Linked DNA regions of Sus scrofa. The main gene of each other region encodes a partner of the protein of the gene in region 2 in a complex. Links are inferred from orthologs where the notes say so. Each region holds a gene or a part of one and is shown on either strand. Other genes may lie near its edges.

Region 1 (3,818 bases), on a different chromosome or scaffold from region 2:
ATCAAATTGTTTCCTTAGAATTATCTGAGAATGTTGCAGGTGTTTGGCTTGCTAACTCTTAGTTAGTATCTTGTATGCCTTAGAGATCCCTCTTTTATTTTGTCTTAAAGCATCTGGGTATAAAAGTTAAGGATTTGATATTGCTGTGGCCTAGGTTGCAGCTGTGATTCGTATTTGATCCCTGGCTCAGGAACTTCCATATGCCTTGGGTGTGGCCAAAAAAGAAAAAGAAAAAAAAGGGCATTGGTATTAGTCCTGATTCTAAAACGTGTGGCCCCAGAACCAGCATTACCTGCTCACCTGGGAGAGCTTGTTAGGAATGCAGATTCTAAGGCCATATCCCAGGTCTACTTAATCAAAAACTGTTGGCTGAAAACTAGCACTCAAATTAGAGAATTACGGGAGTTCCCTTAAGGCTCATCTGGCCTTGTCACCGCTGTGGCTCAGGTGTTCCAGTTGTAGGGTTCAGTCCCTGGCCCAGAAACTTCTATGCTGTGGGTGTGACCAAAAAAAAAAAATATTCTAGGATAATATTCAGTGACAACAAATTCAGTGAGAGAATTCAGTGACAGTGAATTTAAAAACACTAAGAATGAAGTCTCTGAAATGTAGAGTTAAATAATTGTTCCTATGACAGTTTCTTCCCCCAGTGCATATTCCTCACTTTTCTTAAAGAATTTAAAAAAAAAAAAAAAAAAAAAGGATTCTCTTTTCCTTTATGTGCCTTTGTAGTGTTAGGTAGAGGAAATTGGATTTGGGATAGTTACTGAGTGGGTGATTCCTGGCCTGTAAATATGTTGGGGAGAAATGAATAAATATATGCACAATTTAGATAGGTTGAAAAATTTCCAGCGGTACCCTCACAGTGAGCAGTATGGTTTAACACTGTAGTACTCATTTGTGTTTCTAATTAGCTTTGAGAGAAAAAAGGACCACTGTTGTTGCACAACTGAAACAGCTACAGGCAGAAACAGAACCAATTGTGAAGATGTTCGAAGATCCAGAAACTACCAGGCAAATGCAATCAACCAGGTAATGTCTCCTTTATTTGAATTCTAAAAATTCTTTTTTCTGGATTAATACAAATGTTAATTCATTAGTGCTATGTTATTGTGGCCTAAAAGTTCAAGCTTTAAAGAATGGCTTTATCTTTTATTTTCATTTATCCTTATTGTGTAGGGACCAGGAAGTTCCTAATTATAAATGTTTGGTACTATTCTTTATAACTTCTTTACCAGTTAATACAAACTGGATTATGTTGAACAGCTCCACCCTCCTTCCTCCTTCCCAGGGGCCATTTGCCAGTGTCTGGAGACATTTTTAGTTGTCACAACTGGAGAGGTGCTACTGGTATCCAACCAGGAGAGTCCAGGGATACTGCTGTACATCCTAGAGTTCATCTGCCTGTACCCCACCTCCCCCAAAAGAATGACCCAACCCAGAATATCGGTAGTGCTAAGGTTGAAAAATGTTATATTTGAGTGTATTGCCCTAAGCACATGGGTTGTTCACTGTAAGAGAAACCTGAACTCACTTTATCACTATGCTATGTTCTCTCATATCCTTCCCTGCCTAGCCCAAGGAGGGTAGTATAGAGCTACCATACATATAGATACGGTTGTATTTTATTCTTGACTTCTTCTTAACTGGAAATACACTTACTGTTTGGTTTCTAAAGAAAGCGTGTTACCTTACTGTGGAAATATATATCACTAATTGAAGCCCTTTGGGTTGTTTAAAAATGTTTAAAAATAAAATTGAAATAAAATCAGGAGTTCCCATTGTGGCTTAATGGAAATGAATCTGACTGGTAACCATGAGGACACAGGTTCTATCCCTGGCCTCGCTTAATAGGTTAAGGATCTGGTGTTGCCGTGAACTGTGGTGTAGATTGCAGATGTGGCTCGGATCTGGCATTGCTATGGCTGTGGTATAGGCCAGCGGCTACAGCTCCAATTCGACCCTTAGCCTGGGAACCTCCATTTGCTGCAGGTGTGGCCCTAAAAAGACAAATAAATAAAGGAAAATAAAATCGTCTACTAAAATTTAATGTTGCCATTGTAGTAAATCTTATCTGTCAGTATTGTCACTTGAGGAATTGTTCAGATTTACCATATTGCACCTTGATAAGTCATTGAACCAAATTTTTAAAATTTATTTCTTTCTCTAGCTACCTCCCTATCTACCTACCTACCTACCTATCTGTCTATCTACCCATCTATCTATCTACCTATTTATTTGTTTATGGCTGTGACCACAGCACGTGGAATTCCTCTGGCCAGGGATCAAACCCACACCACAGCAGCAACCCAAGCAGCTGCAGTAATGACACCGGATCCTTAACCTGCTATACCACAAGAGAACTCCTGAATCACATTTTTAGAGTGATTGACTCTTAAGTTTTCATTCGTGATTTGGGAAAGTGTTAATAGATATTTTTTAGAAAAGTAGCAAATAACTGTACTTTTTCTATACTATTCTATAATATACTACATATATATACAGAGATAGCTATATCTTACAAAGCTATTATATGTATTTTCATATATATGTATATAGCTTGTATATAGTTATCTCTTGTGTGTCTACGTATGCTTGTATACACTTAGAATATAATGAGTAATTATAGGCCTTTAAGTCACATGTAAGTGCCCACAAAGGGACAGCTGAAATAATCTAGATGTTAGGGTACAGCAGAAAATTTAGGGTTTAAATTTTAAGTTTAGTTACTAACACACTAGGAAGTAATAGGATTAGGGTATGAATAAGATGAATGTAGGTTTGTTCACCAATATTAGAACTCCTTGTAGCTTAATAGGTACTGAGTTGGAGATAAATGAAAGGGTAGATTGCGGGTTAAAAAGTTGTAATCTAATTTAATTTATAAACTGATCATTTTTTGAAATAGTAACCTCTCCCTGCCGATTCCCCATTTTAAAATTTCATTGAATAGGAGTTCCCTTTGTGGCTCAGTGGTTAACGAACCCGACTAGGATCCATGAGGATGCAGGTTCAATCCCTGGCCTCGCTCAGTGGGTTAAGGATCCAGCATTGCCGTGAGCTGTGGTGTAGGTCGCAGATGTGGCTCAGATCCCACATTGCTGTGGCTGTGGTGTAGGTCAGCAGCTGTAGCTCCTCTTTGACCCCTAGCCTGGGAGCTTCCATATGATGTGGGCGTGGCCCTAAGAAGCAAAATAAAATAAAATAAAATTTCATTGAATATATAGTGTTGTCCTCATGCTTTCCCAGAAATACTCAGTCAGCCAGAGGACAATGATTATATACCTGAGTATATAAGAGATGCCAAACAAAGTTATTCATCATGATCTACAGCAAGATCTTTTTTGTTTGTTTGTTTGTTTGTTTGCTTTTTAGGGCTGCACTTGCTGAATATTGAAGTTCCCTGGCTAGGGATTGAATTGGAGCTGCACCTGCTGGCCTGTGCCACAGCCACAGCAACTTGGGATCCAAGCTGCATCTGTGACCGACACCATAGCTCACGGCAACACTAGATCCTTTACCCGCTGAGCAAGGCCAGGAATCAAACCCACATACATCCTCATGGATACTAGTCCGGTTCGTTACTACTGAGCCACAATGGGAACTCCTGAAACCTTTTTATGTTAAAATTTCATGGGTTTCTATTCAGTATTGTAATGTGCTCTTGTTAATTTTAGTAATAACACATCACCTCCCCGGTGAAATTATGTTCCCAGAAGACACACCATAATGTTCCTTCTTGCAGTAAGCATGAGAGAGAATGATTTTGTTTTTGAAAATGTCCAGAAGGTGAACAGCTCTGTGACCTTTCACTTTTT
Region 2 (4,379 bases):
GGAAAACCTGTACTCACTAACATTGAAGGTGACAAATTTCAACTCTAGATTGGTAACCTCTGAGCACGCAAAAACTTGCTTGATAACCATGGTCATTCCATTCAAAACAAATTCACAGTAAACAGCCATTGTGGAGAGAACTTACTCCTTCAAGCTTAATAAACCACAAACTGTGGCACAAAAATAACCCTCAGCTACTAGATCTACACAGCCTTAACAAATTTTCCATTAACCAGAAAAATTAAGACTACATCCTCAAGTGAGACGGAATTAACATTTATTGAACGCCTACCAAGTGCCAGGTAACTATGCTTAATGCTTGACACATTATCTCATTTAAAATGCAAAAGGAGTTCCCGTTCCCGTAGTGGCACAGTGGAAAGGAATCTGACTAGGAACCATGAGGTTGTGGGTTCAATCCCTGGCCTCGCTCAGTGGGTTAAGAGTCCGGCATTGCTATGAGCTGTGGTGTAGGTCGAAGACTCGGCTGGGATCTGGTGTTGCTGTGGCTGTGGTGGTGTAGGCCCGCAGCTACAGCTCTGATTAGAACCCTAGTCTGGGAACAAAGGTCTGGGAACCTCCATATGCAGCAGGTGCAGCCCTAAAAAAAGCAAAAAACAAAAACAAAACCCCCCAAAAAATAGAAAATGCAAAATAATTTCCTGAGGTAGCTTCTGTGAAGACTGGGAAACTTAAAAAATTTAAAAATTCTTTATAGAAAATGTCAAGACAACAGCATAGATTCTGGTCTGTCTGATTCCAAATTCCAGGAATCAAACTACTCCATGGATACCTTATCTTAGAAATCTTTGGAGAAACTAAACAGAAATAAACCAATATTTCAACATGGAAATAAAATGAACAAGTTCAGCTTTCTATTCCAAGATCTACATCAAAGTTTCTGTAAAAGAAGTACGCTATTTGTATAAAAGAAAGAAATTCTGCACTTAAAAATGACTGGACAAGATGATCTTTATGGTCCCTCACCAATTAAAAATGTCCAAAATTAATTTCAAGTGGCTAGAACTGTATTTATCAGGATTGATGGCATTTATATCAAATAATTTCAGGCACGCTACCTCATGATATTAATCCAGACTACTTTATTCAAACTTCGTATTTTGGTAATTCTTTCCTGATTTCTCTAGTTGTTTCTTCTCACTCATTCCTAATTTTCTTAACAGATGTCTTAACTCCTACAACCACTATGCACAGAAAAAGTAAAAGGATAAATCTGAACTAAAGGTTCAAGACAGAAAATCTGCCACCACGTAGGGAGGTAACTAGTATCTTGCAATGAGGCTAACACAATCCATTCTCATGTCTACACAACATGTAAATGAAGCATCTAAGTATCTTCACAATACTATTGCTCATTTATTAATCCCAAGGTCTGCAAAACTCAAATCATACTTGAACCTCAGGCAATTCAATGAATTGAACATCCACCTCATCAGATTCAGGAGAAAAGGGTACAATCTAAAAAAGGCAATATTAATATGAAGCTCATAGTGATTATCTAGCTTAAATTTTTTTCAACACAAGCAGAAGGACTTGTAGGGTTGTCAAAGTGAGCTGAAGGGTAAACATTCACCAAATGAATCAAAACCATAAAAAAAATTTCCAAATCATACAAAACTTGATTTTCACAAAAATGAAGTATTTGAGAACTTAGTTAATAAGTCTTAACATTCCACCCTTGAGACTCTGTAGATACTTGAAAACAAAAACAAAAACAAAAACAAAACGCAGTAGTCATAATGTCATCTGAAGTCTTATGATGAGCCCCCAGGAGTTTTCATAAACAAACAGCGAGAGTAAGTTGGGTTCAAATCTATAAGGCATAGGAAAAACACACAAAAAATCACTGTCTCCCTCGTCTTCTCCAACCTTCAAATCTTCATTATTTCCTTATGCTTTCGTGTGTAGGTTATTAAAAACTCACTCTGTAAACCTCTCCATTTTTCAGGTCGCTGTGTGGACTACCCAGGTTTCTGACCACTAACTGCTAGCTATCTCAATACTCAGTTCACCCTTTTACCATAGGGTGGGAGAAAGGAAGCTAAAAATTCTTTCATTTGCGTGGGGGGAAAAAAAGGTGGCTGAAATTAAATCATAATATTTCACTCCTCTAACAGCTCGAACAAACTCTTCAAATGAAGCTTGGGATGTAAATGAGTTACTGGCCTGGGGAAACCTGAGCTCGAAAAAGCAATGGGGTGCAAGACTTTCCATATGGGATAAGCCAGAGGCTCCATCCTCAACTTCCCAGTCTCACCACTGAAGAGCAGCTCCGGACCGCGAAGTTTGCACGTGGGCCGGTCCAGCCTCTGCTGTCACCTCCCGTCGCCAGTTGGCGAGTGGGATCCAGGCCGGAGTGCGGTCCTTCAAAGGGATGGGGCTGGCGTCCTCGCCAAGGAAATCCGAGAGACCACGCTATCGGCCTCCGGCCCCCAGGGCCGGCGAGCGAGGGGAACAGGGCACCACCAGGCCCTACGCTTGCGCCTAGACCCACAGCCCGCAGGCCGGGGCGGCGCCTCTGGGCCCAGAGTCCGTCCGACCGACCGCCCCTCGGCGAGCACCCCGGCCCGCGACGGCGCCAGCTCGCTCCCGCGCTGGCCGGAGCCCCGACCCGCACCCACCTTGACGTCCTCGTCCTCGTCCTCGCCTTCCCAGCGGTCCCCGCCGGCGGTGCCGCCGCCCCCCACCTTCCGCACTGGGTCATCCACGGAGAACGTGTCTGCGTCTACGGAAGAGAGCGAGCTGTGTTAAAGCTTGCTTGGGCGTGGGGCTGGCGCCAGCCCCGGCCTACCCCCGGAACTTCTCCTCACCCCAAGAATCGGAGTCCCCCGCCGCTGCTGCCGCCGCCGCCGCCGCCATCTCGCGCCGGGTATGAGCGTGTGTGAGGCGACAGCGAGCGAGGAGTTAGCGCGGCAGTGAGTCACTGGATCTGCTCTCGTTTGCCGGCGCGGGGCAGGCTGGGACTGTGGCTGACTTAACGCCGGGGCCCAGGCTCCTCCCCCTCTGGCGGCGGCGGCGGCGGCGATGCTCTCGCGGGCGGGAAGGGGGCGTGGAACGCGGTGGGCGAGGCGGAGCGTCCAGTACCCCACGCACCCAGCAGGGTGGTCCTGTCTGCTAGTGGGGTGGGGAGAGAGGAAGAGGCTAGGAGGCAGCCACCCTACGCCCTGGGGAGAAAAATGTAAGTGCGGCGAAGTTAGCAGGGCAGTCCTTTTCCCGGTGCTTGGCTCTCTCCTGCCCTTGCCATCCTAACCCATACCCGCCCGGACCGGTCGGGTGCGCCCTCCTTCTGTTCACATGGATCGCCACCCTTGGCCTCTGGCTGGTCCCAAGGAAACCCGCAGCCTCTCCACGCGGCACTCAGAAGTGGGCTCTGAACGCCGAGCCCGCCTGTGGCGGCAGTCGCCTGGCTCCCCGACCCCAGGAGGGTGCGGTCGCTGGCGGAACGAGGCGGGATCCCTCTGGAAGCCGGTGGTGCATGGGGCGGCCAGGAAGAAGCGAATAGAGAGGGCCAAGCTCCTGGCAGTCTTCCCAGTCAGGGTGTTCAGTCAGCTCCTGGCACGTTTGCCTCCAGGTAGTCACGAAGATATGGAAGGGAGTCCCCATGTTCAAGAATTTTTCCTTCCTGTGAGCCCCCTGAAGTCAATACATTATTCATTCTTTTCGCAGAATAATTTCGGAACTCGATCTGCGCTAAGCGTAAGCTCTAGCCTTGTCCTCGCTCACTCAAGTATAGACATATAAACAAATTTCGACACAGTGAGATGACTGCAACAAAAAGGCATTGTGAGGTTTAGTGTAAAAGGATAGCATTAACCGCAGAGAAGAGAGGTAGGATATATGAAAGGCTACCTGAGGGTAAGTGAGGCCGATAAAGAGTTTTAAAGACCAACCAAGTGAAATGTGTTCAGTGCCTTTTATGCTTGTGGTCCCTGTTCTGACTGAATGGCGCAATCAGAGATAAGCTGAAAAGATAAATTTATAATACTAAAGGGTTTAAGATGAGCTAAGCTGCACCTAGCTTGGGCCACTGAGCTCCACTTCAGGATTTTAAAAGGTGAGCTGTTAAACATATTTTTGTTTTTGTTGTTTTCTTAATTTCTTAGTTTTGAATATGTAACATACGTACTTGGTACAACATTCATTCAAATGGGTATATAGGATGATCAGCCATTATGTTCTTTCTGGTGGCAACCAGTGTTCCCCATTTCTTATGTATCTTTTTCAGTGAGTCTACAAATAGACCACATTTTATAAAGATGGTCTTCCAAAAGATATTCTGCAGCCCAGTTACTCAAAGTTTTTTCCTGATCAGCCACACTTGGGAGTTTGTTAGAAATGTAGAATCTTAGATCCCAGCC

Evidence for each region.
Region 1: EIF3J (region 2) and EIF3E share a complex: the UniProt entries of both Homo sapiens proteins name them as parts of the eukaryotic translation initiation factor 3 (eIF-3) complex. The link is inferred for Sus scrofa from reciprocal best matches to the Homo sapiens genes EIF3J and EIF3E.

The regions. Positions count from the first base shown.
Region 1 is NC_010446.5:29,295,273-29,299,090, forward strand, and holds part of EIF3E (eukaryotic translation initiation factor 3 subunit E), read left to right. Parts: intron 1-914; coding exon 915-1,032; intron 1,033-3,818. UniProt on the Homo sapiens protein: Component of the eukaryotic translation initiation factor 3 (eIF-3) complex, which is required for several steps in the initiation of protein synthesis.
Region 2 is NC_010443.5:127,016,251-127,020,629, forward strand, and holds the start of EIF3J (eukaryotic translation initiation factor 3 subunit J), read right to left. Parts: upstream 3,015-4,379; 5' UTR 2,881-3,014; coding exon 2,832-2,880; intron 2,747-2,831; coding exon 2,643-2,746; intron 1-2,642. UniProt on the Homo sapiens protein: Component of the eukaryotic translation initiation factor 3 (eIF-3) complex, which is required for several steps in the initiation of protein synthesis.